Lonchura striata: one gene and its partners. The protein of the gene in region 1 interacts with the protein of each later gene in a biochemical or structural test. Links are inferred from orthologs where the notes say so. Each region holds a gene or a part of one and is shown in the gene's direction. Other genes may lie near its edges.

The links.
Region 2: the proteins of ARF6 (region 1) and HTR2A form a complex in vitro, tested with the Homo sapiens proteins (2 studies listed by BioGRID). The link is inferred for Lonchura striata from reciprocal best matches to the Homo sapiens genes ARF6 and HTR2A.
Region 3: the proteins of ARF6 (region 1) and ARFIP2 form a complex in vitro, tested with the Homo sapiens proteins (2 studies listed by BioGRID). The link is inferred for Lonchura striata from reciprocal best matches to the Homo sapiens genes ARF6 and ARFIP2.
Region 4: the proteins of ARF6 (region 1) and CYTH1 form a complex in vitro, tested with the Homo sapiens proteins (2 studies listed by BioGRID and IntAct, with this or other methods). The link is inferred for Lonchura striata from reciprocal best matches to the Homo sapiens genes ARF6 and CYTH1.

Annotation. Positions count from the first base shown.
Region 1 is NC_134608.1:1,966,719-1,974,091, forward strand, and holds the start of ARF6 (ADP-ribosylation factor 6), read left to right. Parts: upstream 1-4,358; 5' UTR 4,359-4,440; coding exon 4,441-4,968; 3' UTR 4,969-7,373. UniProt on the Homo sapiens protein: GTP-binding protein involved in protein trafficking that regulates endocytic recycling and cytoskeleton remodeling. GTP-bound form plays an important role in the transport of multiple palmitoylated proteins form the Golgi to the plasma membrane.
Region 2 is NC_134604.1:61,622,378-61,629,195, reverse strand, and holds the start of HTR2A (5-hydroxytryptamine receptor 2A), read left to right. Parts: upstream 1-3,818; 5' UTR 3,819-4,234; intron 4,235-4,675; 5' UTR 4,676-4,945; coding exon 4,946-5,345; intron 5,346-6,818. UniProt on the Homo sapiens protein: G-protein coupled receptor for 5-hydroxytryptamine (serotonin).
Region 3 is NC_134604.1:116,966,976-116,974,808, reverse strand, and holds the start of ARFIP2 (arfaptin-2), read left to right. Parts: upstream 1-4,831; 5' UTR 4,832-4,915; intron 4,916-5,758; 5' UTR 5,759-5,767; coding exon 5,768-5,866; intron 5,867-5,957; coding exon 5,958-6,066; intron 6,067-6,961; coding exon 6,962-7,072; intron 7,073-7,610; coding exon 7,611-7,726; intron 7,727-7,833. Other genes in the region: RRP8 (ribosomal RNA-processing protein 8), read left to right, coding at 93-227, 310-433, 512-648, 1,304-1,417, 1,648-1,829, 1,933-2,158, 2,687-2,897, 3,092-3,360; TIMM10B (mitochondrial import inner membrane translocase subunit Tim10 B), read right to left, coding at 4,155-4,352, 4,420-4,515, 4,719-4,757. UniProt on the Homo sapiens protein: Plays a role in constitutive metalloproteinase (MMP) secretion from the trans Golgi network. May have important functions during vesicle biogenesis at certain cargo subdomains, which could be predominantly utilized by secreted MMPs, such as MMP7 and MMP2.
Region 4 is NC_134621.1:11,768,844-11,776,161, forward strand, and holds the start of CYTH1 (cytohesin-1), read left to right. Parts: upstream 1-4,305; 5' UTR 4,306-7,318. Other genes in the region: USP36 (ubiquitin carboxyl-terminal hydrolase 36), read left to right, coding at 303-812, 1,050-1,192, 1,598-1,762, 2,031-2,146, 2,222-2,353. UniProt on the Homo sapiens protein: Promotes guanine-nucleotide exchange on ARF1, ARF5 and ARF6. Promotes the activation of ARF factors through replacement of GDP with GTP.

The DNA of each region.
Region 1 (7,373 bases):
TGCCCGTGTTATAAATGAGAATTTATTCAGCCAGATTAAAAATTTAAAAAAATAATTTTATTAGCGGTCAAATTCGATCTAGCCAGCCACAGGGAAAGAACAGAGCCGAGCCTTGGGTCGGCCCTGGGTGTGCCACAAGGAGTCACCTCAGCAGAGGTTTTCTCCTATGCCCACACACCTCCAGCCTGGCACAAGTGAATTTTATAGGGAAAATTCCGCCTGAGGCCAAGATTTCAGCAATCAGTCTTTTCTTCTATTCAGAATCCATAATAAGATTTTCTTTTTTGGTGATGAGGAGAAATAATTCAATGTCTGGAGTAGGTGAATCCCTGATGAGATTTACGGGAAGGCTGCATTCACATGGATCTGTCTGAGGATTTCCATGAGATCCATCTTGGGTCGTTTATGGGATGATCAGCATCAATGATCAACACCTGGAGTCCCCATGGTGAACACCTGGAGTCCCAGTGATCAACACCTGGAGTTCTGATGGTCAGCACCTGGAGTCCCAATGGTGAACACCTGGAGTTCCGATGGTCAACACCTGGAGTCCCCATGGTCAACACCTGGAGTCCCCATGGTCAACACCTGGAGTCTCCATGATCAACACCTGGAGTCCCCATGGTCAGCACCTGGAGTCCAGCCATGGCCCATCTCCTGGCCGAGCCAATCCTTTTATTTGTGACTCAGTTTCCAATATACACCCAGTCTCACCTGCAAGGGGGGGGAACTAATACAAACGGGCATAATCTAACAAGTATCCAATATTCCATATTTCATACAAAGAATGGCGCAAATTATATTTACTACACATAACACCCAGAAGGAGTCTCCAATCCTGGAGACACTCCAGAGCCAGCTGGACACATCCTGTGCCCTGTGCTGGCCCTGCTGGAGCGGGAAGGTGGCACCAGGTGACCCTGCTGTGCTCCCTTCCAACCCGAGCTGCCACATCCCCCCACCAGTTTGGGGTTTCTGGGGGAAGATGTGCAGCTCATCATTCCCCTCTGGCAGGTTTTGAGCCGTGGATGATCACAGGAAGATGAGTTTTGGGTGCTCTCAGTGTCATGCAGAGGCAGAAGCTGCAACCGCAGCCCAGAGCAGCTCAACTCGGCCACGGGCCCTGCCAGGGATCCGGGGAAAGGAGAGATCCCTTGGGAAACCTGCCCTGAGCAGAGGCTGGATGGAGCTAAAGAATAAATTAGGGATTTATTAAAGGATCTCCTCCATGGATCCACCTTGGGCAGCACCAGAGCCCAGCCAGGGCTGCACCCAAATGACCCAAAATGGTCCCAAAATGCACGAGCGCTCCCGGGGCTCTCCCTGGGATCAGTTCTGCTCCATTGGCACCTTGGAGTTCATTGTCCCATTCCAGCTCCAGCCCATCAGTCCCACCCTGCTTGTTTTTCTCTCTCCAGCCCACGGTGTTTGTGCTCCTGGGCTGAGATTTGGATCATTTGTCCTTGGTGCCCAGCTGGAGCAGGAATTGTTTTGTGTCCCTGCTCTGTGCACAGAGCTCAGCATCCCCTGATCTGGAGCCCAGACCCACACACTAAAGCAGCACAGGATGGGAAAAATACAAAATCCAAAACCTGGGGCATCATTAGCAGGCAGAGGGATAACAGGGATTGGAGCAGGGCCCAATCTCCACAGGGCTCCAGTGCAGGAGCAGCTCAGAGAAACTCTGGCAGGTGTTGCACATCACTTTTCCAGCAGAGAAAGGACAGAAGGAGTTCAGAAAAGCTGCTTGCCAGGTGAAATGGGCAAAGCCAGAGCAGGCCAAGCCCTATTTGCACCCAATCCCCAGAGATGATGGACAATGCAGTCTCCAACAACCCAAAAAAAAAGCCGAGATTCAAGAGGAGAGACCCGAGGAACAGCATGGCTGGCTGCAAAAGTGGGAGCAGACGATGGAAAGGACACTTCCCCAGCCTGCAGTTGCTCATTCCATGGGGTTTCATGGTACCCAGAGGGGGGGTGACACAGCCTGAGCATCCCAGAGCCCATCCCGTGTTCCACCAGCTGTGCTTTATTTTCACCTGATCCCTGAGATCCTCGCTCCTCACCTGCTGGGTCCCGGGACAAAGCCCCAAAGGAGCCTCAGCTCTTACAAAGGAAAGCAGAACAACCTCAGCACGGTCACACCCTCCCCTCAACGCTTTGCACCGTCAGAACAAAAGCACCAAAAGTCATTTCCTGACAGCACAAAAAGCTGCTCTGAGGCAAGGGAAGAACAACATGGGCAAAGGAAGGACCTTAAAGCTCCTGACATCACCTTTCTCTACTATTTTGAACCCTTGTGGCCTCGTGCTGCCTGATTGAATGAACTCAGCAGCACGGAAATGGTCACGCTGAGCAGAGCCAAGTGAAAACCCACCAATATCCACACCCTGATGTTAATTTTAGCCCTGCAAATATTTAGCTCTCCGTTTAGATAAATATCCCATGCTCGTGAGAGAGGAGACTCGCCCAGCTGCATCCAGCAGGATCAGGGCTTGCTGGAAATCCCAATCCAGCATGCGAATTAGCAGCATTATCTGCTGGTTTAATCAGCAGGGCGTGAACTCTGGCAGTGCCCGGCCAGGCAGGGACACTCCTGAGCCCCGGGGTCAGCAGGCCGTGCCCTGGCACACCAGGAGAGGCCACGGATGCCGTGTTTGCCTTGGCATCCTCCCTCTTGGCTCGCTGCAGGAAACAGCAAAGCCTTCCTCAAAATCTCCTCTTGCCAGCACAGAACGCTGGAAAACCCTGAGCTGGAAGGGACCCCCGGGACCGTGGATCCAGCCCCTGGCCCTGCAGGGAAGAGCCTTTCCCTGATCTCCAGGCCAAGCCTCCCTGCACAGCTCCAGCCCCGCTCACCAGAGGGAAGAGCTTGAGCCCTGAATAATTCTGCAGTCCAGGAAACCTCCCGTTCTCCCAAAGACACCGAAGCGTTCCCTCTGGCAGCTCCAAGAGGAATTGCTTTCCATGTGCCAGGACATCAGCCGGAGAAATCAGCTCCCAGCTCGGTGTTTTGGAGGGGAAGGGGAAGATGGGTGAAGTCAATCCTACACGATCCCAAGGGAATGCAGACTGTGCCCTCCAGCAGGAGACCCCAGGGCGACCAAGTGCATCCCGGTGGGATGCCAGTGTCCCGTCCGGGGTGGAAGGAGATGGGCTGTAAGGTCCCTTCCAACCCACACCAGCCCGTGATTCCACGATTTCGTGGGATTTGTGTTCCAGGCGCTGCTTCCCCCATCCACCCCCCGAGCTCGGGAGCATCCCCCAGCGCAGGCCGGCTCTCACAGGAGCGGTGGGAGCCGGGCCGTGCCCGTGTCCCTGGCCCCGCTCCCGTGTCCCGGTGTCCCGGCACGGCCCCGGGCGCGCCGTGTGCGTGCAGAGCTGCGGCTCCCCGCGCTGGGCGTGCCGGGCACGGCTCGGGACCAGGGCGGGGCCGTGCCCCGAGCGCTGCCCGCTGCCCCGGGCGCTGAGCCGGGGAGTTCCGCCCACCGGGATCGCTGGCGGTGACCCAGGACAGCGCGGAGTCATAAACCCGATGACGCGGCACTGAATCACCGCAGGCTCGGGCTGGAACGGACCTCCCAGCCCGGCCCGGCCCGGCCCGGGGCAGGGCACGGGCACCTCCCGCTGTCCCGGGCTGCTCCCGGCCCAGTGCCCAGCCCGCCTCGGGCACTGCCAGGGACAAGGGGCAGCCGCAGCCTCTCGGGGCAGCGGTGCCGGGGCTTCCCGCCCTCGCTGCACGCAGCGCCGGTGCGGGGCAGGCTGCACGGCCCGCTCGGTACCGGGCTCGGTACGGGGCTCGGTACCGGTGCCGCTCCGTCCCGCCGGGTGCTGCCCCTTTAAGGCGCGCCCCGCGCGCGCCCCGCGCTGACGCGCGATCGCGTGGCGCCTCTCCCCACCGCGGCCCCGCCCCCTCCGCGCGCCGCCGCGCCCCGCCCAATCAGCGGCGAGGCCACGCCCCCCCTCCCGCGGAGCCCCCCCCTCGGGGGCGGGGCGGCGGCGGCGGCGCAGGCGCGCGGGGCGGGCGGGAAGGCGCGGGCGGAAGGAGGGGCGCGGGCGTGGCGGGGCCCGCGCGGGCGCATGCGCGGGGCGGCGGCGGGGCGGAAGCGGGCGCGGGCGCGCGCGGCCCCTTTCCGGCGGCGCGGGCGGAGGCGGCGGCGCGCGGGGCCCTCAGGTACGGCCGGGCGCTCCCGGGACGCTCCCGGGGCCATCGCGGCCGCTCCCGGCGCTGCCCGGCCCGCGGGATCCTCCCGCCGGTACCCATGAGCTGAGGCGCCGCGGCGGGAGCCGAGGCAGCAGCGGGCGGAGCCGCCGCCGCGGGCCCGGCGGAGCAGCGGAGCCGCCTCCCCGCCGCCCCATGCGCGGCCCGCGCTGAGCCCCGCCCGCCCTTCCCCGCCGGGCCGGCGCTCGCCCTCTCGCCCTCCCTTGGATGCCGCCGAGATGGGCAAGGTGCTGTCCAAGATCTTCGGGAACAAGGAGATGCGGATCCTGATGCTGGGGCTGGACGCGGCCGGCAAGACCACGATCCTGTACAAGCTGAAGCTGGGCCAGTCGGTGACCACCATCCCCACCGTGGGCTTCAACGTGGAGACCGTCACCTACAAGAACGTCAAGTTCAACGTGTGGGACGTGGGCGGCCAGGACAAGATCCGGCCCCTGTGGCGGCACTACTACACGGGCACGCAGGGGCTCATCTTCGTGGTGGACTGCGCCGACCGCGACCGCATCGACGAGGCGCGGCAGGAGCTGCACCGCATCATCAACGACCGGGAGATGCGGGACGCCATCATCCTCATCTTCGCCAACAAGCAGGACCTGCCCGACGCCATGAAACCCCACGAGATCCAGGAGAAACTGGGCCTGACCCGGATCAGGGATAGGAATTGGTATGTGCAGCCCTCCTGTGCCACGACGGGGGATGGACTCTACGAAGGGCTGACGTGGTTAACGTCCAATTATAAATCCTAATGGGAGAGGAACTATTTAGTCTACAAAGAATTAAAGAAACAAAACAAAAAAAAATTTAAACAAACAAACAAAAAAAGAAACAAAAAAAAAAATTAAATAACCCACGTGGCTTTCCAGAAGAATGATTCTCTACTGAAAGTAAAACAAAACCGCATCCATAGGATTATGATCACCTTTCTCCAGTTGCCACCCTTTCCTCCTGCACCCTTGGCTGGATTCCTGTTCTAACTCCTCCTGCTTGGCGTTAGGATGCTCTAACCTCCGAATGTGACACGAACACAGGCACTAGATGCTATGGCAGACTTCCAGCAAACAGGGGAAGGACACATTATAGACTTGCTAAGTAACTTTTTTTTTTGTTGGTTTTTTTTTTCCTTTTTCCTCTTGTTAGCCCTTTGCTGGTTTGATTATTTTGGGGGATGTTGGGGGAGGGGGTCCATTTTCAGTGTATGCTTCCTGGGTCTACTTTTTTGATTATATATATATTTTTTTTCTCTCTCTTCTCTCACTTTGCTGTAGATTGCTACTTTTTTGCATTCTTGCAGGATATGTTGCTAGGTCGACTTCATCTAGTAAACTGAAAATTGTTGCTTAAAATCAAACTGCAGTCTGTCTTTTTATATTAAGGACTTTTTTTTTTTTTAAAAAAAAAAAAAAGTTCTGTTAATCTGTAACTAAACAGTGACTCAGTCTGGCCCCACGGCTCAGGCTAACGAGGGGAATTCTTGCCTGCAGTGGCAGAGAGTGGGAATTCCACTGTAACGTGTTCAAAGTGCGTGTCGGGCGCTGGGAAATGTAAGATCTGCTTTGGAATGTCAGCTGGGAAGTTCTGACCCATACATCATGAATGAGGAGGGATGCAAAACCAGCTCCCCACACCACCTAGCAAAGCAGGCATGAGCGATGCTGTAGTTCCAGGGCAGGCACTGGGCAGGTTTTTTTGTCCTAAATGAGGTTTAGTTGCAGTTTTTTACTCCTTGGTGTCGGTCCTCGGGCCGAGGCCCTTTCCAGCAGATGCAGCAATAAAATGTTGCAATGAGTTTGAGTTTAAATCAGATGTTTTGGCAAAAGTCCAGCTCTGACTTGCCTCTCGCTTCCATCTCAAGGCAGCTGGAGACACCAAAACCTTGAAGGGATTCCTGTTTCTTTCCAACAGGCAGGAGGAAATTGTTATTTATTGTTATTATTGTTCTTTTTCCATGCTGGAGCCTTGCGAGGGCGGCGAGTTCCGAGCCGAGCTCTGCTCGCGCCCGGCGTTTCTGACATCAGGAATGGCCATTTTGAGGAAATCACTGCTTGCTTTGGTTTTCCAAGCCTGGACTGAGCTCCTGCGAGTGGCTGGAGCCTCCTCCCTGTGGCCCGGGGCTGCTGGAGTCCTGTAGGAAAGGGAACTATGTTGGATGTCTGAGGCCCATTGAGGAACTGCTAATGAGAGCGGGGAGGGGAGAGAGAGAGAGAATCGACGCTGAATGTAAACTTCCATAATTAGTTCTTAAAGGGCAAAGCAGCTCGTTAGCCATGTCACAGCCTGTAGCTGGGACTGGCCAATCAAAAACCCCACCCGGAGCGAGTATTTGCATAAAAACTCAATCAAGTATTAATTAACGCTGGGTGCACAAACTGTTAAAGCAGCTGGTTCTTATTCAGCCTTAAGGATTAACTTCAGATTTCCTCAAGGAGTTAAAACTCCGTTGGGGAATTCTAGGAATGTATGCTACAAAACCAGAAGAAAATGGCTTTTATTTTTCCTTTTTTTTTTTTTCCTTAATTGTTTTCTCTTTTCAAGAATATAAGTTTTACATGGAACTGGGGGCATTACACTACATTGCTGCCGTGGTGACTCTGCATGCTGAGTACATTGTACACATGGAGCTCTTACCAAAGATGTATGGGAAGATAAAAATCCTGAATTCACTTCTGAAATCCAATGCTTTGGAGCACTTCAAAGTCCTTTTAGAGTATGGTTCCAAAAAAAGACTTTTCTGGATGTGGGTTGCAAATGGGACTGGATGGGTTCTTGGTGCTAGAAGATAGAGCATTGATGGACTTTGTGAATTAGAGAGAGTCTGCAGAAGCCTAATGTAGAAATAACTCTTCCATCTCGGCCCTAAAGAAGAGGAAGTGAGATTAGTTTCTTTTAATCCAAGGCTTTTTGCCATTGGAATATCATTGCTCTATTTTCTAGCTTTTATTTTTCTTTTCCTGTTGCTGTAACTTAATCAACAGTGTGGTGGTATAAAAACTTAAAATTACAACAATATGGTTACTGTTTTCTTCTGGAGCATCAATAAAATAGCCAAGCACAAAGTAAATGCCTAAACTGGAAAACTTGAAGCTCTATTAATGGTTCTTGAACTTTCTTAAACCTATTCTCAGTCAACATGAAAACTTCAATACCTTCATTT
Region 2 (6,818 bases), on another chromosome or scaffold:
TATGGATTACAAAATCTATTCAGAACATCAGAGAACAATGGCAAACTCAGAAACTGGGAATTTTTACACCTGAATCAATCCTGAGAACACAAATTTGAATTATGTAAACTAGGTTTTTAACTGCTCCTCTTTCAGACAAAAATTGTTGAAAAGCAGCATTTCTAGGAAGTGTTTATGTGCACCATGCCAAGCATAAAAACCCTACTGAAGAGAACAGAATAACGTCCTACAAAAAATTTCCAAGCAGAGCTAGGGACCAGGGGAGGGGCTGAGATGAATTTGTTACATTGGTGCCTTCCAGAAATTAAAAAGCAATGTGCAGTCTGTTCCCATGCCAGCTGTGTTTCTAGAGACTGCTTTCTGTCTACCACAGACCACATTATTGCCATTTTAAGCTAAGATTTCACTTAATTTCCATAGGCTGGGACAGACAGCAGCTGCCTGCTCTTAGCGCAGACGCGCTGCCTGGGAGTGCAGGTCGCAGCGTGCGAGGCTCTGCTGCCACAGACTTGCAAACTCCTTTGTTTAAAATAGAAGAGCATGGAGCCTACAGTTTTCCAGAGCTTTCCACCTTTAGGAAAAGCAGTGGTCAAGGCTGGTTTGGATGTGACTGATCACCTAGGAGTTATTCCATGCTGAATTCTCAAGGTAGAGCTCACGCTTGGTTTTGCAGATGGATGAGAGCCCTGGTATTCTCTTTTTGTTGGGCTCTGCAAACAAAGATTGGACATTTCCTTTGCTTGATTCCTGCAGTGATGCTATATGGAAGGAAAACAATTTTCAGGTTCTTGGGGTGAGGTGAGATGAGTGATTTTGCAGTCTAAATAAAATAAAAATCCTGAGATAAATATTACAATAAATTCATGATCAGTTGTACATCCAACACACACGCTAGAAGACATAAGATCACAGTTTTTTTCTGATATGTCAACCTGCACAAAGCTGGTTTCTTATTTATCAATGCTTCATGTGCAAACCTAAAAAAATTTTAAGATGCCTGTGCCTCAGTTTCACATATGCCAAATTGCTTTCTGTCGGGAAAGCTAAGTTTCCAGAAGGTACTCAGACCCTGTGGTAGATACTCAAATGTCTACAGCTACACCACAGTAAACAGTGCAGTCCTTTAATGAAGAGCTTATGACTGTAGCTGCAAAGGTCTTAGGCAAGGCAACAGTTAGCTGGTTTGCACTTTACTTTTATGTTTTTGATGTCCTGAATAGAGCTGCAGATTTAAATGAGTCATTGCACACCCCCAACCATACTGTTTGTCAAGGTCCAACTCAGGCCAAGTTTGGAGGAAATTAACTTCTGTAGCTGGTATGCAAATATGACTATAAGTCAATTATCTTACTTCATAAATAGTGAACAGCCAGGGCTTATTGATCTCTCCTGCAGGGCAGTGGATTGTCTGCCAGGGTCTTGGCTTTGAGTAGTAGTTCTCAAGGTCACTCCTCAGAGTTGAGAGATCCCTTGACTCAGGAGATTCTCAGTAAGTGAATAATAGCATGCTAAACTCTGAAATCTTAGCTAAGTGACACAAAAGATTGATTGTGAACATATAATCCTTGAGATATAAACCATTGACTAAGTCTAAGTTTGGAATTAGGCACACATAAACTCCATTATGAGAAGGCACTTAGAACACAAGGAGGTCTTTTCTGAACCTCATGACTCAACAAGAGAGTCTTTCTCCCTGTCTCTCTTATCTGACCCAGTCCTCTGTGCCATAAATAATCAAGTGCACCTTGTCATCAGATCTTACTGAACCCTTCTCACATTTACCATGAAGCTTGACAAAATCACTGGTTTATATCAATAAACCTGTAGCTATTCTCTCTTAGGAGTGACATCCATGACACACCCATGACTGCTATGCTATAGCAGTCAGAGCCCTGAGCCAACCTTCTAAGAAAACAACGGGACACCTGGGCTCCTCACAAAGGTTGTATGTAGCCCTAGCCAAGAGGTGCTGTGCCCTGTTCTGCACAGTGGCTGCATGTCACCACAGGCCTTCAGCTGGGTAATAATTAGTATTGACTCCACAATTGTAGAAGTTTCATCAATTGCTTTATTATATCATCTTATACTATATTTTACTATACTTATCAAAAAACTTATTAACTCTTACAGCTAGTCTGATACAGCTTTGACCTAACTGGTCAATCTATCTAAATATTATCTAGTGTTTATTTAAGAAATCACCCTTTAGTAAACAAATCTCCATGACACATTTTACATGTGCACAACAGCAGGTGCGAGTGGAGATAAGAATTGTTTTTCATACTTTTCTCTGATCTTCTCACAGCTTTCCCTGGGAAAATGCCTGGGAAAGTCTGTGCCTGCTCTCTGTGGCCAGAGAGCTGCTGCCACAGCTGCATTCAGCAGAAGTGGAGCCCACCCTCTGTATCAGATATGCACTATCATATTCATAGCAGTGGCCACCAAATCCTCTGGAGCATGGATGCCAAATTCACTTGGTGAACACAGTACCCTATTTGATTATTGTATGAAAGGAGAGAGGAAATTTCCTCTTCTGGCTTCTGGGTGAGACTGCCAGAGCTAACACATTTCTTGCTAAACTCAGCTTTATCAACTTTTTTACCAGTTTGTGCTGTCTGATAGTCTTCTGGCCTCACCTATGGGACTGGGAAACTTTATTACTACCATGACACATTTCCAAGTCCCACATGGGTATTAGTGGAAGCTACTGCGTCATTTTCCCAGTCTTGCTGGGTTCACCTGTGAGTAAAACTGGCTCCAAAAAACTACTGAGAAAGGCTTTCTGTAACTGTGCCCCAGTTACTGATCTGAATGGGCATCAGTGTGTGCTCTGAGACTCACTTTGGAATGGTTTTGGGTCCATGAAGAGATTAGCACATGTCAGCTGAGCTGTAGTAATTCTCCATATGCTTGAAGTTCCCTGGGATCTGCAGCAGAGTTGACAGTGCTGCACACAGAGCTGAGCTATGCTAGCAGCCTGCAGCTCCCAAGGGTCTGCCAGGAGCCACGGGTGCCCAGTGACACTGGCACCTCTCTGAGATCTCACTGAAAACTTCCTGAGCCTGCCTGTTTAAAGCCATTGCCCTCAGCATGAGGGAAGTCTGCAATATATCTCAGGATGTGCAGGCGAGCAGTACACCCATTCAGCCAAACTTTTGACAACTGTAAGTCTCAGAAAGTCTGTGAGCTGAGTATTTTTAGGTGGAAAATTGAAGACTCGGCTATTTCTTCATGTGTGTCCTGGCAGCAGAAGTATAAGGCAGAAGCAGTGTCAGACTGTTTTGTTTCCCCTTTGCTCTATACACACATTGCTTTACAGAACTGCTTCCTTTGGGATGCCTGCTTGGGACAGGCTGCTGGACTGAGCTGTTACATCCATCTCCTGACAAATGAGTATGACATCAGAGTGACTTCAATTTTTTATAAGTATCTGTTGCCAAGTTGATTCACACGTCAGCACAGACCTGGAGTTAAAACTGAAGGGGACTGAATATTATTATGCCTGCCTTTTAAGGTTGGTGGAATTTCCCCTCTTTAGGGAAAAAACTTCTCACATGTTTCACTCGTATCTACCATCACAAGCCTTAGATTTTGTCTCTCTCAAGCCTGCATCCTGTAAATCCCTGTAATTGCATGCAGCTGTTTGTGAGGCATCCACTGCAAACTGAAAGCATGTTTTGAAAAAGCCCCCAAGCAGAGAACCTCTAAAATAAGCACTGAAAAAGCTGCTGGCTTACCAAAAAGACCCCCTGTGCTCTGCCCTCCCCTGCCCTCCTCTGCTGTCGCTACCTTACAGTTTCTGACATCCAGAGAGTGGGAGGTCTGACAATCCGAACAAGGCAGCAAGGGAGAAATTCCATTCCTGTTGCAATCAGTAATTCCTCCGTGCAGGCTGCTTTCTCATGTGTGTGCGTGCTTGCTTTTGTGCCACTTCAAGAAGGGCTCTGATATTATTATTACTTTAAATATAGCTGCCCTGGGGCGGGGAAATGCACAAGGAAAGAGCCGGCGAGCAGCCTATCTCTCAGAAGAAAAGAGCAAGCCTCGCAGCACAGGAACTGGCTTCACTCAAGTGTGTGCAGTTTAGAAGTCAAAAAACTATTTGAAATAGCACCGTTGTGGAGGAGGCTGAAGAAAAAAAGACACGGAACTGGCTAAACACAGCGAAGAATATTGTAAACCAGGGTGCCAAGTGCATTTATTTGCAGTTTGAAAGTGGGCTCTGAAGTGCAATGTAAGTCTTCCTTAAATTGTATTCTTTTATAACAGTATCTAGTTGTTTAATTTCCATTCTGAAGCCATGCTGAGCCAAAAGGTACAATTAGCTACAAAAATCAGCATGAAGCAGAATGTGTAGTCTCTGATATGAGGCTGAAAATGATTCTGAAATACAACAGAAGACAGAGACTATCAGCCATATTATGGAAGATGCACTATAAATAAAAGCATATTTAATTATTTCGAGAGAAAGACGTTGGATGGAATAATTAATCAAGATTCTTAATAGAGAATCCAGAGCTTTGCTGTTTAATACGGCAAGATATTTTAATACTGCTCTGTTTAAAATTGTGTGATAACAGTTACCAATAGCAATAAGATGTAGCTCCAGAGGGGAGTCCTAGTGGTTGCAAAAGTTTTATGTCTTTTATTTCTCCAACATTTTTTCTCTCTGAAGCCTCTCTTACAGCCCAGTTTTACTATCCAGCTGGATTTTCAATATATGCCAACACTGGACTTCCTATGGAACTGAAAACAAAACATTTCAGCTTTTGGAGTAATTTTGGTATGTTTTTCTACATTGCACTAGTGGCAAAAATACAGTCGACAAAAGATTGTGTTCCCTCAACTTCTGACATGGGGAGCTGAGGAATATAATGCCCAATGGTGACAAAGGGTGATAATTTCCTGTTTTTCTCAATTTATCTCTGTGGTTTTGGACTTAGCAATGGATATTCTTTGCGATGGAGTGAGCTCTGTGAACCCAACTGCAAACTCCTTCATACAAATAAATCATGAGAGAAGATTCTACAGAAATGTTTATGGAGCTGCAGAAATTAATATATCACATCTCTGCAACTTGACTGTGAACTCTGACAACCTAACCAATCTTTCATGCGAAAGTAACATGAGCCCACCGTGCTGCCCTTCACAGAAAAATTGGCCGGCTTTGCTGACAGTAATAGTGATTGTTTTAACCATTGCTGGAAACATTCTTGTCATCATGGCTGTTTCACTGGAGAAAAAACTACAGAATGCCACTAACTATTTTCTAATGTCACTTGCAATAGCTGATATGCTGCTGGGTTTCCTTGTCATGCCTGTGTCCATGTTGACCATACTGTATGGTGAGTATCAGCTGTGTAACCTACTGCATGTATTGATAAGCCTTAAAGATTGCATGCAATAACATCTTGTTGTCATTATGATTTCATTCTCTTACCACAGAAAATTATTATCACTCCATATAAATTGAAATATATGTCACTGGTTAAGGCGTGGAACAGGTGAAGTACTTGAATCTTTTCCTAGTTTATATTTCCAGCTACAGGCATTTTAAACACAGACCATAAAATCAGTTTATTATTCAGTTGTCAGATGTATTGACTCAAAGTGTATATGAAGATGCTTTGTTCTTTCTATTGTTTTCAGATTTTTTCCCTGGCTCATAATTTTCATGTTCCCAATGAGAATGAAGGGTCCTGCCAGTTACTTTGCTCTGCAAATATGCACTGAAACACTAATGACTACTTTTAGATTCAAAGTAGGCATCCCTCTCAATTATTTTTAGTGAAGTAATATAAATGTAAATAATTTTCTTATCACCAATACCCTGCTTAGACAATCTATTTACTAGCAAATGCTGGAATAAATATTGCATGAACTAAGAAATGGATGGGCATTAGTAACATTTACAAATGCAAAACTATAATTTCTTAAGATAAGTTATTTAAGTTAAAAATGACTCACAGTTCATGCCCTTGCAGGTGATTAATAGCACATCTTTCTTCCCATTTTCACCAAAATCATTTGCAGCACAGCTCACACCAGAAAAAGCAGCACCCTTTGTGTTCAGCACTAATTTTGTCAGGCTGTGACCGTCCCTAAACTTCAGAAATGAGCCTTTCAATGCTACTGAATTGCTGCAGTTCAAAGAAAAGCTAGGCATTGTCAGGAGAGTGAGATTGTTCTATTACTTCACTACTTTGGGACTTAAGGTTCAAACGTGAGCCTGTGCTTAAAGGAGATTTAATCCGGAAAGTTGGAAGTTTATTTTCCATTTTCAGTATCTCTACAGAGATAGCCCGCAGCAGCATTTGCAAACTGCATTTGGCATCAGTCACGGTGCCACACCGCGATGTGCCGTGTCAGTGTGCTATTATCTCTGGCGGGAGAAACGGCGTGAAACAGGAATTGTCCGATGGGTGAGATTTAAGTGCTGCGTGATTCCCTGCGACAAGCAACAGGGACTCCTGCTGGCCAGGCTCCGCTGCCGAGGGCAGAGACGGCCGAGCCCCGTGTCTGGGGAGGGATGCGGGGGTGCGGCGCTGGGTGCCGCTCCCGCCCGCCGGGAAGCGCGGCCCCGTCCCGGCGGAGCCCGCGCCGCCCGCCCGCGCTCCCGGGACACGCGAGCCGCGGGCCGGGAGGCGCCGGGGAGCGCCTGCCTCGCCTTTGCCTCCGCTCTCCCCGCTTCTTCCCCTGCTAGACCAGGCATGGAAGCAGCATAACTTGGCGTGAAAAATCATCTGGTGGCACCCACTGGTACCAGGAGAACCATCTTGGTGTGGTGCACCATCAACCTCCAGGATCATCAGTGATGG
Region 3 (7,833 bases), on another chromosome or scaffold:
CCTCAGGCTCCTGGCCTGGCACAAGAGGCCTGGCTGCTAGGGCTGTGTCTGGGCTCGCTGGGGACACTGGGTCACTGGGGGTCCCCCTGCAGCGCTGGAGCGGCCCTGAGAAGCTGCTGGCCCTGGATGAGCTCATTGACCGCTGTGAGCCAGCGCAGATCAAGTACATGATGCAGGTCATCGAGCCCCAGTTCCAGCGCGACTTCATCTCCCTGCTGCCCAAGGAGGTGAGTGAAGCCTGGGGACCAGGGGCCTGGCCTGACCTGATCTTCCCCCTGTGACCTCTCTGTGACCTTTATCCCCACGTAGCTGGCCCTGTACGTCTTGTCTTTCCTGGAGCCACGGGACCTGCTCCGTGCCGCCCAGACTTGCCGCTACTGGAGAGTCCTGGCCGAGGACAACCTGCTTTGGAGGGAGAAGTGCCGTGAGGAGGGTGAGGGCCCTCCCGGCTGGGGGCTGGGGCCACCCCAGGCTTGATCCAGGTGAGGCACTGCTGTGTTGTCCCCTGCAGGGATCGAGGAGCCCCTACACTTGAGGAAGCGACGCCTGCTCAGTCCCGGATTCATGTACAGCCCCTGGAAATTCGCCTTCCTGCGTCAGCACCGCATTGACATGAACTGGCGCAGTGGGGAGCTGCGGCCCCCCAAAGTAGGTCTGGGTGTCCCAGTGCTGACTCCAGGGAGCTGTGGTCCCCAGGGTGAGCCTGGGAGTGCTCCTGCCAGGGGTGGACCCTGGTGGGCTGAGGGGCTGGTGGGGGTCCCTCTGGGGACAGACCTCAGGCCCCTGGTGTGGGGAAGCTGGCGCAGGATCTGCCATGGGGAGCAGATCCGGCTTGTTCAGAGCAGTGGGACAGCAGAAATGAGATCTCCTGGGCCTGGAGAAGGGGGTCCTTTCATTTGCCCCTTTCCAAGGCCCCATCCAGGGCTGCAGCCAGCCTCAGCACCCAAGGAAAGTGCAGTGTCACAGGGCTCAACTGTGTTCTGTGCAGGGTCCCAGAACCCTGGTCATCTCTCCGTGGGGGTCCCTCCTGCCCCTGGACAGAGTCCTCACCACCCCTTCTCTTGCTGCTGGGTTCCTGAGCCTCCTACTCCCTGTTCTGCTGTAACCCCCGGCCCTGCAGCAGACACACCACACACCCCAGCTCCCCTGCCCTGCAGAAGCACCAGGGGGTGCAGGTGGTTTGGAGACCCGTCTGCCTTTCCTCCCCACAGCTCCTGCTACCTTCCCACTGCTCATTATGCTGGGGGATCCTGCAGGCTGGGTGGGGCCACACTGCCCCCCACACCCTCCTGTGCTCCCACAGGTACTGAAGGGCCACGACGACCATGTGATCACCTGCCTGCAGTTCTGTGGGAATCGCATAGTAAGCGGCTCTGATGACAACACACTCAAAGTGTGGTCAGCTGTCACAGGGGAGGTGAGTGTCACTGTCACCAGGCAAGTGAGTGTGGCATTGTCACTGGCGCCACAGGGGCTTGGGGCAGGGACCATCTCCCTGTGCTGGGCACAGCTGGGGCTACACCCTGACTGCTGGGGTCGGTTTGGGCCCGTTATGACAAGGACACAGAGTTGTGCTGCTCCTCTGTGCTGTTTTGGGGTGGGGGAGTGCGAGAGGCTCACCTGCCTCTCCCGTCCTGTTCCCCACAGTGTGTGCAGACGCTGGTGGGCCACACTGGGGGGGTTTGGTCCTCCCAGATGAGGGACAGCATTGTCATCAGCGGCTCCACTGACCGCACACTCAAGGTGTGGAACGCTGACAGCGGCGAGTGCGTGCACACGCTGTACGGACACACCTCCACCGTGCGCTGCATGCACCTGCACGGCAACAGGTACGGGCTGTGGGTGCTGTGTGAGGGAGGACAATATCCACGGGGAGGCTGTTAGCCCCAGGCTGCCCTGGCAGCTGGGCCCCAGGTGTCCCCTCACCCGCAGGGTGGTGAGCGGCTCGCGGGATGCCACGCTACGGCTCTGGGACATCGAGACGGGGCAGTGCCTGCATGTGCTGATGGGCCATGTGGCAGCCGTGCGCTGCGTCCAGTATGATGGCAACAAGGTGGTCAGTGGTGCCTACGACTACACAGTCAAGGTGTGGGACCCCGAGAGCGAGAGCTGCACCCACACGCTGCAGGGGCACACCAACCGTGTCTACTCACTGCAGGTACGGCCCTGCACACATTCCCTCCTGCTGCTCCCCTGCCCTCCCTGCTCCCTGCAGGTACAACCTGCCTTCCTGCTGGCTTGCTATCTCTCCCCTGCCTTCCAGTCATGGGTACAAGCTGTGCCAAAGGTCCCACATGTGCTGTAGGGACAAATAGGCTGTGCGTGTGTCGTGCAAGGCCCTGTGAGCTTTGCAGGGACATGTGTGCCCTGAAGGGGCTGTATCTGCCCTGCAAGGACACATGGACCCTGTTTGTGTCCTTTGGGGACAGTCTCTGCCCCCCTGATCCCACTTCCCACACACATATGCTGTGGACACAAACACTCGTCCATGCCCCTTCCCTGGAGCATTACAGCTCAAAAAGCCAAGAGGCACATGAGCCTGTGTCTCAGCTGCTGAACTGGGGTCGCTGGTGCTGGAACTGGGCGTGCTGTATCCCAGACTAGGGAGTGCCGGAGCTGTGGGCTGTGCCCCAAACCAGGGACACTCCTGTCCTCGATCCTGAGCTGGACCCCTTCTCTCTGGCAGTTTGATGGGACACACATCGTGAGTGGGTCCCTGGACACATCAATCCGCGTGTGGGATGTGGAGAGCGGGAACTGCCTGCACACGCTCATGGGGCACCAGTCACTCACCAGCGGGATGGAGCTGCGTGACAACATCCTGGTGTCCGGCAACGCCGACTCCACCGTCAAGATCTGGGACATCAAGACAGGGCAGTGCCTGCAGACGCTGCAGGGTGAGAGGGGATACCTTACCCCTGGGGGGCAGTGGGATGTTCTCTCCATCAGGGGGCTGGGAAGGGGCAGGGCTGGGAGGGAGCTCCTTGCCCTTGAGACTGGGCTGGCTGTAAGCTGCCAGCTGTGGCAGGATCCATGTCAACAGCAGTGGGTGGCCCAGGTATGCATGGGGCTCATGGGTGCCTCCCCATAGGTCCCAGCAAGCACCAGAGTGCCGTCACCTGCCTGCAGTTCAGCTCCAAGTTCGTGGTGACCAGCTCGGATGACGGGACAGTGAAGCTGTGGGACCTGAAGACAGGGGAGTTTGTGCGAAACCTGGTGGCCCTGGAGAGCGGGGGCTCGGGTGGGGTGGTGTGGCGCATCCGCGCCTCCAACACAAAGCTGGTGTGTGCTGTGGGCAGCCGCAATGGCACCGAGGAGACCAAGCTGCTGGTGCTGGACTTCGATGTGGACCTTAAGTGACCCCGGCCAGCCCGGGGGTCCCGCGGGAGGGGTGGCCCCGGCGCAGGCGCTGGCCCCCGTGGGCAGGACAGAGGGGAGGTCGGGCCGGGCCTTATTTATATGCGCGGGAGTGCCCGGCCGGGCCTGCAGGAGCATGTTTTGTACACGGAATATATCAATTTATTTCTGTACTGGGGCTTGTGCTTACCTGCCTTAAGGCCTGTCCCGGACCCGCAGCTCACGCCCTCTGCCCAGGGGCTGCAGCAGGGAGAGAAGAGGCCAGGATCTCCTAGGGACCACGCATACACACGCCCTTAGCTGGTGGGCACTGGCCTGGCAGCACCTGACATCTACCCCCACCTTGCCCCCTCCCCCTGCCCTGAGTGCCTGCTCTGCACCTGACAGTTGCAGTGAGAATGTTCAGGGCCCTGCAATGTCCCGGTGATCACGGGCGTCCTGTAGGGAGACATTTGTCTCCCAGTGAGGTGCAATTCCCTGGATTCCCTGTTGTGCCATGGGTTCACACAGCAGCGAACAGGGGCCAGGGCTCTGGTGCCCTCCCCACGTGTCACACTAAGCCATTACTGTGAAGATGTTTTATTGGTATTCACACTCCACTTCCCAGAAATCCACAGCCAGGAGGGCTAGGGGGGGCCTTCCCCTGTTCCTGTGCCCCCCATCCTCGGTGCCCTGCATAGCCCAGCCGCTGCTCGGGGCTCCGGGGGCCCAGCGCGGATGCTGCTCCAGCCTGGAGCTCCAGCGCAGCAGGGCTGCTGCTGCGTCCGACGGCCGCGGGGAGCTGCGGCCAGGGGCTTCTACGTGCCGGCAGCGGGAGCGTCTTCCGCGGGGCCCGGGGCCGGTCCAGGGGAGGCCGGCAGTGCGGGCGGCCCCGCCGCAGCGCCGTGCTCGGCTGCGCGGCGCTGCAGCAGCGCCGGCACCAGTCCCACGTAGGCGCCCATCAGGCGGTGGTTGGCGCGGACCAGCCTCGCGGCGCAGCTGTCCAGGCACGACTCCTGCGGGGCACGGCGGGGGTCAGGGGGCGCGGGGGCAGCCGGCCCGCGGCCCCCGGGCCCCGCTCACCTCGCGGCCCGTGAGCAGCCGGTAGTTGAGGTTGCAGACGCAGTGGCGGAAGCAGAGCTCGGTCATGCGGTTGTAGACCAGCAGGAAATCCCGCAGCTGGGGAGCAGGCGCGGATCACACCGGGCGGAGCCGCTCCGGTACCCCCGAAACCCACCGCGAGTCCCGGCGCGCCCCCCGGCCAGCCCGAGTCCCTTCCAGGGCCCCGCCGGCTCTCCTGCGACCCCGGCACCTCGCGACCCCCCAGCTGGAGCCCCGGGACCCCCCCGAAGGCCTGGCGGGACACGCCGCCCCCGGCTCACGCTGCGGAGCTGCTGCCGGTGCTCGGCCGCCGGGTCCATGCCGGGCCCGGCCCGGGCCGCTCCCGCCGCACTCCCCGCGCCGTCACATCCGCCCGGCTCAGCCATGACGCCACCTCCGGGCCCTGACGGCACTTGCGGCGCGCCCGGGCCGAGCGGAGCGGGAGCGGCGCGGGGGGCCCGGCGGGGCCGGGGCGCAGGTGGGGCTGGGGGGCACCGGGGGGCCGCGCACGGCCAGCGGGGCCTGGCCGAGAGAGCCCCGGGAGCCGGGCTGCGGCCGCCGCCGCCCGCTCGGGCCGGCTCCGCCGGGAGCGGCCACCGGGGGTTCCCTCGGAGGTCGGTCCCGTCCCGGGGCCTTGCCGTGCGTGGCTGCGGAGGGCTCCGTGCGGGCGCTGCCCCCGCCCGCCGCGGGGGCTGTGGGGCTGCGGGGCCGTTCCGCGGCCGGGATGGCCCCGGGCGGTGACAGCCTCTGCCCGCAGGGCTCGCCCCCCGCGCTGGGCCGGGCCCTGTCCCCGCCGGGGAGGGCACAGGTCGCAGGTAACGGGTTCTCGGGAGCCCGCCCCGGGCCCCGCCTGCTGTCGAATGTGCCCGGACCGGTCCGAGCGCAGCGGGCCCCCTCCCGCTCTCCTGCGGACGTGGCTCCCGGCGCCGCGCTGCGCGCTGCCAGCGCCGCTGTCCCGGGGCACGGACTGCGGGGATCCCGGCAGGGTTCGTGAGAGGGGGCACGGAGTGCGGCCCGAGGGGCGGGGGAGCCCTGGAGCCCTGGCGTGATGGTGTGGGAGCCGCAGCGGTCTCTGGGATGTGCCACCCCACGGGTCGGTTCTGGGGGCCGGGGGTGTCCCGAGAGACGGTGGGGCCGGGCTGGGAGTGGCTGCAGGAGGCAGCGGGCAGCCTCTGCTCGGTGCCAGCGGCTGCCGATGTGGGCCCTTCTCTCTGCGCCGAAGCCTCCTGCTGTCCCAACACGGCCCCGCAGTACCGGCTGTGGCTGCTGCCCCCGGCCGGGCGGTGGTCCTGGCCCCAGCACCACGGCCGTGTCCCTGCAGGCCCTGAGGATGTCGGACGGGATCCTGAGCAAGGCAGCCACCATGGAGATCCCCATCAGCAGCAACGGGGACACCAGCAGCCTGCCCGAGGACGATGGCCTGGAGCAGGTCTGGAGCTCGGGAACCCTAGGGGGTGTTTGGGTTGTACCAGGGCTGTGCCATCTCTGCCTCTCAGCCCCTGTGCTATTCTGCCCCCCAGGACCTGCAGCAGGTGATGGTGTCAGGACCCAACCTGAATGAGACCAGCATTGTGTCAGGTGGCTACGGGGGCACGGCTGAGGGCATCATCCCCACCGGCACCATCAAAGGTAGTGGAGTTGGGCTGGGAGGGAATGGGGCCATCGTGGGACCAAGGGGCTCATCTCTTCTCAGTGCCCCTGACTCATGACACGAGGCTGTGCCACAGCCTGGCCGAGGTGGCTCCTGGGTGGGCTTGGGTTCTGTGTAGGGGCAGCATGTGGCAGTGTGCACTGATGGCAGAGGAGGGGCTGCTGCCCCAGCTCCGCTCTCCCTGGGCTGCTCCCCTGTCACAGGGTGGGCTCTGCTGGGAATTTCCATCCCCTTGGTCAGGACATCCCCGTGAGATTCTGAATCCCTGCTTGGTGGAGGATCCCTGCTGTGTCCTGGTCCATGTGCAGCGGGAGCTCTGGAGTGTGCTGGGGATGAGGGGGCAGGCAGGGGCACAAGCCCACACTCTGCTGACCCCTTCTTGCTGTCCCAGTCAGACCGGGCCACAGCGGGGCCAGCTGGGCTCTGCACCCTGGGAGACCTGGCAGCACTGTCCTTGTTCCATGCAGATCTCTCCCTGAGAGATCTTCCCCAGGGCCTGAGGAAGGTCCATATGGGCAGAGAGGGAGACTGCACGGGTGTGCACTTCCCCGGAGCACCGCCACTGCTGGCCCGGTGTCCCTGTGTCTCTGTGTCCCAGCGTGCTCGTGATGCCAGGCCTACCCAGCCCTTGGAGTGCAGGGGTTCCTGCACAGGGGCCAGAGGTGGGGGTTTCCTGGGCTGGGGCATCCGTCTGTGAGGCTGTGGCAGTGTCTCTGGGTTCCAACGCTCACCTGCTGCCGTCGCTCTCCCGCTGCCGCCCGCCCGCGCACTCGCCCCTGTCCCTTGCCCCCCCGTCCCTCTGCCCTGGCTACCCCACTGTGCCATGCCCTGTGCCCCCATCCTGTCCTGCCCCACACTGCTCAGCCCCCGCAGCCCCCCCATTTCCAGGCTCTCTTGTCCACCCTCACCCCCCCCGAGGACCGTCGGTTGCCCCCAGCGCGCCTGCTGCCCGTAGGATGGCCCGCCCGGCCGCGGCTCCCGCAGGTACTGCGCCCCCCACTCCACCCCGGGCGTCCCTTGGGTCTGGGGGCCCCGGGCCTCCCTAGGGACGTTGGTAAGAACCCCCATGGCGGCTGTGTCATGGCCAGAGCCTGGTCCTGGGGCTGATCCTTGTGCTGGGACAGACGACAGCACTGGTGGGCCCAGGGGTTTCAGAGGTGGGTCCTGGCCAGAGGGGCCCACCCTGCCCCTGGAGCCCACCTGAGGGGCTCCCAGTACTACTGGGCAGTGTTCCCCCTGTGTCCAGCCTGGTGACAGCAGTCGGCAGGAATGGGGCAGGGCTTGGTGCAAGCAGATATGGCTGGGCTGGGATCTGTGCCCCTGTGTGGGACCCTCAGGGGGGCTGGCAGGAGCAGGGTCCTCATCACAATGCCTGTGAGCCAGTGCTGGGCATATGCCTGGAGCTGGGCATGCTGTTGTAGAAATAGCAGCTCCAGGACAAGGGCTCTGGAGGCTGGGGCTGCCCGTTCCCCGTGGCTGCCGCCCTCGTGCAGCTGGTGCCATATTCCTGTCCCTGTGCCAGGCCCTGGGCTGCACCCACCACCCCCAGGACCCCCGCCTGGTGGAGAAGAGGTCGTGCGCGGCATTGCCGTTGAGAAGTTCGACATTGTCAAGAAGTGGGGGATCAACACCTACAAGGTGAGTGTGAGGGGACACCAGTGGGCCTTCCTGCTCCCCTCCCATGAGGAGCTGCTCTCGGTGTGGCTCGGGGGACTCACAGGCGCCTTGGGGCCCTGTGTCCCCCT
Region 4 (7,318 bases), on another chromosome or scaffold:
TTTCCTGGTCTGCTGTGGGACCTGTGAGTGCTTGCAGAGTAGCCTCTGATTCCCATTTCGTGGCCAAGATGGCAGCAGTTGGGTGTTGTGCTTCTGCACCTCAGGGGAGGGAGGAAGAGAGGGGCATCCAGGCTTTTGGATCAGCCTCTTCTCCTGTCCTTCAGCCTGTCCTCATCTGCTCTTTAACTTCCCAATCCTGAAAAGTCTGCCTTCAGTTTCGTGCTCAACTTGCCTGCTCAGCACCCGGCCTCCCTGCTGACCCATGGTTCCACTGCCCACACTTCACACCACCTTCTTTGTAGCAGCAGGGAGACAGGATCTGGCCAGGAGGAACCAGAGGGTTCCTTCAAAAAGAAGCGTCGGAAGAGGAAGCATCGTAGCGCAGACAGGAGCCCTTGTGCTGTGGCTGTGAAGGGCATGGATGAAGTCTCCAGTCCTCCCAAGAAGGAGAGAGTTATTTCTCCAGAGGTCTTCAAGGGCAAAGACTCCAGGCTCCCCAAGAAAGAAAGCACTGACCCTCAGAAGGACTTCACTGATAAAGACACCAGGCCTCCCAAGAAGAAAGTTGCCTCTCCAGGGGACTTTGTGGCTGTCATGGGGAAGGAGGTGGCCAGTGAGGGTCTCAGCCATGACCTGGTCTGTCAGGACATGAAGAGTGGGCCCAAGCAACATGTGCCAGAGCCCAGTACTGGCCTGGGCATGGAGCCAACTTTACCCCTCAAGAGGAAGAAGAAGAAAAAGAAGAATAGAAGCAAAGACAGGCTTTTGAAGAAGACAGAAGAGTGCAGCTCTGGGATGCTGCTTTCGGACAGGTGAGGGACGAGGGGCATGTGAGAGCCTGAGGTCAGGCTCCCTGAGTCAGGGGCTTCTCATCTTTCTGCAGGTAGGATGCACCTCAGCATGCATCCAGCTGAAGCACCTGTTTGCTGTGGGTGGGTTCACTTCTCCCTGGGTGCAGCACGGGTGTCTCTGCCCTATTGCTCTGTTGGAAGCTCAGGCTCTCCTGCTGTGGTCTGGCTGGTGTGAGCTGACCCTGCTGCCTTCCCCAGCTCCAGGACAAGAGAACCAGAGCCCTGTAAGACACATCAGAGTGTGGAGGCTGGAGAGCACAAGCACCGCAAACGCAAGTGGATGGAAAGCCTCAGCAGCCTGGCTGCCGATACTGTTCCCACCGCCACTGCCACTACCCCAGGTGTGACCCTGTGCCCTGTCTGGTGCCTGGCAGTGTCAGGCCAGTGGCTTGTCTGCCCAGGAGCCCCCTTGGAGCACTACTGTACCACCCCCAGTGCTTGCTGGTCCCGCAGCTGCCTGGCAGTGTCTGTGTCCTGCTCCCTGGCCTGGGCTGCCCTGTCCCAGGCCTGCCTGCTGCTCCTGGGGGACAGCCCTGGAGCCTTTGCACATGCCCTGGAAGAGGAGGTGGGAACAGGCCCCTTGACTGACCCCCAGGACAGGCATTTGTGTGCCCAGACACCCTCAGCCATCAGGACCTTGTCTGTCCAAATGGTGTTTCCTGGGATGAGATCTGCTTTGGAGAGGGAGGGACATGGTAGCTGCCCTTGCTCCCCCTGGCTCATCCTCACCGTGCTTATTTCCACAGTGGCAGCACATCCCAGCGACAGCCAGACTGGGGATGAGAGGCTCTCTCTGGCTGCCCTGAGCCCTATGGCCAGCAGTTGGGCTGGCACAGCCCCTGAGGGCCAGGAGTCCAGCGTGGTGGACAAGCTGCTCCAGAATTCCTTGGACAGGGCTTATGGCAAGCAAGGTAATCCAGGGTCATGTGGGTATGTGGGTGGGCAAACAGCATGGAGCCCCCCTGCCCTAAGGCCTGGATGGGGGCAGAGTCCCCTCAGCTCTGCAGGGCCTGAGCTCCCCCCACCCCAGTGCAGGCAGGGGTGCTCCTGGAAGCAGGCAGGTACACCCGGCCACGGGGCTGGTACAGGGTGGGCAGCGAGGGGCTCCAGCCTTGGGCCTGGGGCGGGGCCAGGTGCAGCGTGGCACAGCCTGGTCCTTCTGACTCCACCGCTCTGTAGTCTTGACCTGGCAGGGTGAGATTTCGGCCGTGAGCCAGGATGCAATTCGGGACACAGCACTGGCCCAAAGCAAGACCGTCATCGATGACTGGGACCAGGAATTTGACAAAGGAAAGGTGGGTGCTGGCCTGGGCCAGGTGGGAGGCTAGGGCCTCTGCAGTCTGACCTGAGCACACTCCTCCTCTGCACAGGTAAAGAAAATTAAGAAGATGAAGCAGGAGCGGAGGAGAGACTCAAATCCATTCCAGAAGTTGCAGAACAAGCGCAACTTCTGGTTGATGTCACATCCTGCCAAGATGGCCAGCCTGGGCCACCGGCTCTAAGGTGAGTGACCCGGGGGGCACAGTGAGCCTGGGGGCTGATGAGGTAGCAGCCTGGTGGGGTCTGACAGGGCTCTTTGCCTCACAGGTTGAGATCTGCATCCCCAACTGCTCAGGGAGCAGTCCCAGGTCAAGGACCAAGGGCAGCGCTGTCCTGGGAGCTGTTGGTGGAGCACACTCAGAGGGGAGGGAATACAGCCGCAGCCCTGGCGTTGTGCCTTTTCCTTCGGCGAGCTGCTTTCCAGCTGCAGAGGAGCCTGCCCACTCTGCCTTCCCTCCAACCTGCCTCGGCCGGGCGCCTCATCAGCTTCTCCGTGCCTCTTCCCCTCAGGCCCCAGCCCACCCCTGCGGGGGCTCGTGGCAAGTGCCTCAAGCCCATCCCTGTCACTCCGAGCTGCTGTGCCTCCTCTTCCCAGCGTCACCGACCCTCATCTTCCCCTACTCCCCTCACTCCATGACCCCCCTCCCCTGCACAAGCTGCATGGAAAGCCTCCCCCGGCCCCCTGTCGGCCCGGCCCCGCGCTGGCGCGGGGGCACCGGGGGATCCCTTCGGGGCCGGAGTGCTGCCGCCGTGGCTACGGGCATTGAAGGATGGAATTGAATAAATCCCGGTCTTTGTCACTCGGTCATGATAGGCGGCGATGGCGAGGGGCAAGCAGCGGGGCGGGCTCACCGGGACGGGGTTGGGGGGATCACCGGGGCGGAGTTGGGGGGGGATCACCGGGACGGGGTTGGGGGGGATCACTGGGGTGGGGTTGGGGATTTCACCGGGACGGGGTTGGGGGGGGGATCACCGGGGCGGGGTTGTGGGGGGGATCACCGGGACGGGGTTGGGGGTTTCACCAGGGCGGGCCGGGGGCACCGGGACGGGGTTGGGGGGATCACCGGGGCGGGGTTGGGGGTTTCACCGGGGCGGGGTTGGGGGTTTCACCGGGGCGGGCCGGGGGCACCGGGACGGGGTTGGGGGGATCACCGGGGCGGGGTTGGGGGTTTCACCGGGGCGGGGTTGGGGGTTTCACCGGGGCGGGCCGGGGGCACCGGGACGGGGTTGGGGGGATCACCGGGGCGGGGTTGGGGGTTTCACCGGGGCGGGGTTGGGGGATCACCGGGGCGGGCCGGGGGCACCGGGACGGGGTTGGGGGGATCACCGGGGCGGGGTTGGGGGATCACCGGGGCGGGGTTGGGGGTTTCACCGGGGCGGGGTTGGGGGATCACCGGGGCGGGCCGGGGGCACCGGGACGGGCGGCAGGGGGCGGGGCCGGCGAGGCTCCGCCCCGCCCGGGTCACGTGGTGCCGGCCGTGGCGCGCTCGTCACGCGGGCGGGGCCGGAGCGGCGGCGGCGGGATGGAGGAGGAGGAGGGCGGCGGCTGCGGTCAGTGCGGGCCGGGGGCGGGCGGGGGGCTCTGGGACACCCGCCTGGCCCGGGACGAGGCGCCGGGGCAGTCTGTAGTCCCCGCTGGGCGGTGGCTACTCTCCCGGGCGGGGCGCGTTTGGGCCGGGCCGCTGCCAGGTGCAGGACCGGGGGCGGTGGCTCCGGGACGGGCGGGGATTTGGCGGCGGCGGGACCTGCGTCCGCAAGTGACAGAGCGGCCCTGGCGGCATCGTGCGGGCGGCGGCGGAGGAAGCGCCGGGCGGAACTGGCACCTGGTGCCCGGCGGCAGCGCGGGGGGCGGGCGCGGCGCGGGGCCGCCCTCCCCGGGCCCGCGGAGCGCCGCCACTGCCGCGGGAGCTCCGTGGCCCGCTGCCCGCACGCCTTCCGTCGGCCGCTCGCACTTCGCTCCGGTGCTCCCACGGCACTGCCGAGTCCCGGCCCCGCAGAGCTCAGGGCGGCTTGGCCTCGATGGTGCCTGCTGAATGTCACAGCCCCCGGTTCGGGAGCTCCCGGTGTGTGCCCTGGACCCGCTCCCAGGGCGGGCCGCGGCGGCTCAGGGGGTGCAAGGTCTCCCTTCTCATGCCCGTACATTCTCCTCCCACTTCCTTCTGCCCTCCGTGCCCGCAGAGCGTACCTTCCCTCCCGGTGCTGAGGACCGGGACTGGACAGGGAGACCCTGCCTGTGCCTGATCTCTCCCGGGCAGGTTCCCGTGTGTCGGCAGGTGGTTTTTCTTGAGGAGGGCCTTTGCTGAGGGGAGACTGGAGTCTGGGTGAAATCTCGGGCAATGGCCCCAGTGCTGGAGCCGTGCTGGTGACCATTCTTCCTGGGAGCAGCTGGTGCCAGCAAAATGCTACTGCCGGCAGTGCCGGTTCACGGCCGGTTTCCTGCCCAGCTGTGCGGCCGATTAGGAGCTGCTGTTCCACCCCAGAAGTGACAGTGCTCGGCTGCAAGGACTTCACTGTGTAAGATAAGGAAGGTGCTGGCAGCTGCGGCCTGGCTCGGGTGTTGTCCGATACAACCCATTAGCAGGAGAGCGCTGTGGGGATCGGTTCTGCCAACAGCCTCCCAGTGCTTCCTGGAATCACCTGGAAGACATCCCGGGTCATATCTCAGCATTAGAAATGTCCCGCTCACTCTGTGGCGGAAGCCACAGGGAGTGCACCGCCGCCTCCAGCCCCCACCACTGTTCCTGTGCTGGGGGCAGCACAACCCACAGCTGCCCTGAAGCCCATAAGCATGGTTTAGCCAAGGACATTCTGCCGAGGCTGTAGCATGGTGGGAGCCGACGCGGAGTCTCTTTCTGGTGGCATTGTGCTGACGCCAGTGTCTGCCCCATGGCTCATGGCCCCTCTTCAGCCTCTTTTCAGTCTGCCTCGGCAGAGAGCAAATCCCAAGGTGAGCAGCTGGCAGCACAGATGTGTGCTCTCCCTGCTCCTGCCAGGGCGTGGGGCTGCACTCCCACCCCCTTCCCAGCATCTCCCCGTGGGGACAGCAGCAAAACTGAACCCATCCCAGAGCGGAACTGACCGAGAGCAGTGGTGTGACTCAAATGCCTCTGGACTGTGGGGAAGAGGTATCCTGGCAGAGAACCATCCTGGCTGCTCCTGCCTTGCCAAGCTGCAGCACCGGTGAGAGGATGTGGGGAGCACAGTCCTGTCCTAGCACTGTGTCCTGAGCTGGGCCCTGTCATGGCTCAGGCTGGCCCCAGGGAGATGGGGATTGGGCAGTGCTGGTAATCCCACTGCACCCAAGGGATTACTGCTCACTCTGGCCTAGGGATTAAGGGATTTCTCTAAGTGGGGTTGATGCAGCCTCCAGCAAAGCAGCTTGTGCCTGGGGGGCCTTATTGTCTGGGACAGGATGGGTGTGTGATGGCAGGGTGGGCTGTACAAGGTGTGGGGGATCCCCAGGAGGGTGGGGTGACAGGTCTGCAGAAGGCTGGCTGAGGGGGTCCTTACCCAGGTAGTCACTGCTCTCCTTGCCACCAGCCTGTAAAGTCCTGTTTTGCCAGTGGGTGCTGGCAGCCCTTTGGTACAGGTTTGGCTGTCCCATCCTGGGACCACGGCATATTCCTGGACACCAGGGAACACTCCTGGGGGAGCTGCTGCTGATGCCCCAGTGCTTCCTTTGCACAGTGTGGAGTCAGCCTAGGCAAGTTGCTGGGCCCAGCTTGGGGAGCAACTCTTCCACAGAACTCAGGGATGGACTCCCAGGTCACAAGCAAAGACAGTGCTGGGGTAGCACCAGGCTTAGAGAGCAGAGCCAGGGGCTTGGGTAGAGGCAGTTGCCCAGTTCCTCTCCTGAGGTGTTTGGAGCAGAGAACAGTGAGCCCTGCTGCTGACACTTGCAGTCATGTCAGGGCTGTAGCTATGGTTTGTAAACACCCCACCTTGCCTGGACAGGGTGCAAGGACCCAGCCAGGCATCCAGGTCACTCTTTGTGGGAGATGCCACCTGGCCCTACCCCATCCCAGTCGCAGCACCCACATGCCTGTGTCACACTGGTGTTTCTCCAGTGCCAGTCCAGGCCCAGGCAGGCACCTGTACAGCACGTGCACAGCTCAGCCTCCTCTGTGTCCCCAGCTCCCTTGGCTTGCCCTTTTGCCTTCTGGTGATGTGGTAACTGCTGCTCTGGCCCTTGGGAAAGGGGAAGTGGTGTTGAAAGCAGAAGGTCAGTCACATCAGCAAGTGCCTGGCTGCTCTCACAGTCCTGTCAGCTGCCCTTCTCCACTCTCTCCTCCTCTCTTCAGTCACACTGCTCCTGGGATCAGGAACTGCTCCTGCCTGCCAGGGTGCCCTTCCCCACTGCCTGCCCGGTCTGGGCTTCTGCCTGCCCTACTCAAGTTACTCCTGGCTCAGCGATCCCAGTGGATGCAGGGGCGGGTGAGCGGAGCTGTTGGGCTGCTCCTGCCCTGACAGGCCCTGGGGTTTGTTACTCACGGCCATGCCCTGTGCTCAAGATCGCTCCTGCTTTGAGGAAAGGAGCTGTCAGTCCGGTTTGGGGTTCGCTCAGCGCCTGTGGGGTGGGAGAGTTGCTCATTTCCTCAGCTCCAGAGCTGCCCCCCAGCCTGAGATCCTGGGGCATGACCCCTGATTCCTGCTGCAGGAGCCCCCCACACACCAGGGCCGCGGCAGAGTGGGCAGTACCTCTGGGGCATGAGCGGGGCTTGGTGTCTGCTCGTGCTGGCGCACAGGGCTGGCTGAGCCTGTCGGGCTGGGTCAGGCTGGGGAGCGGGGGCCGTGGTGGCACCCCCACGCTCGCACCGCCGCGCTTCTCTGGGTGCACCTTCCTCATGCGGCGCTCGTTGCTATGCGACCGCCAGCTCCTGATGCTTAATGCTCTAATACGGAGGGATAAAACCACTCTAAAAATACACTGCTGCTGGCCCCCCGCGGGGGCAAAGGAGCTGCCGGGGGGCAGGCAGCCTGGGCAGGGGGGCTGCTGGGAAGTTCTGAAACTCCGTGTCCTCCAAGTGGCTTTAAGCCGCCCGCTGTGGCTCCGGCGGTGGCACGGACTGGTGTGCTGGTGCGGCGGGGATTGGCTGGGGCTGGCGCGTGGGCTCCTGCGGCTGGAGCTCCCCTACCAGAGCCAGCTC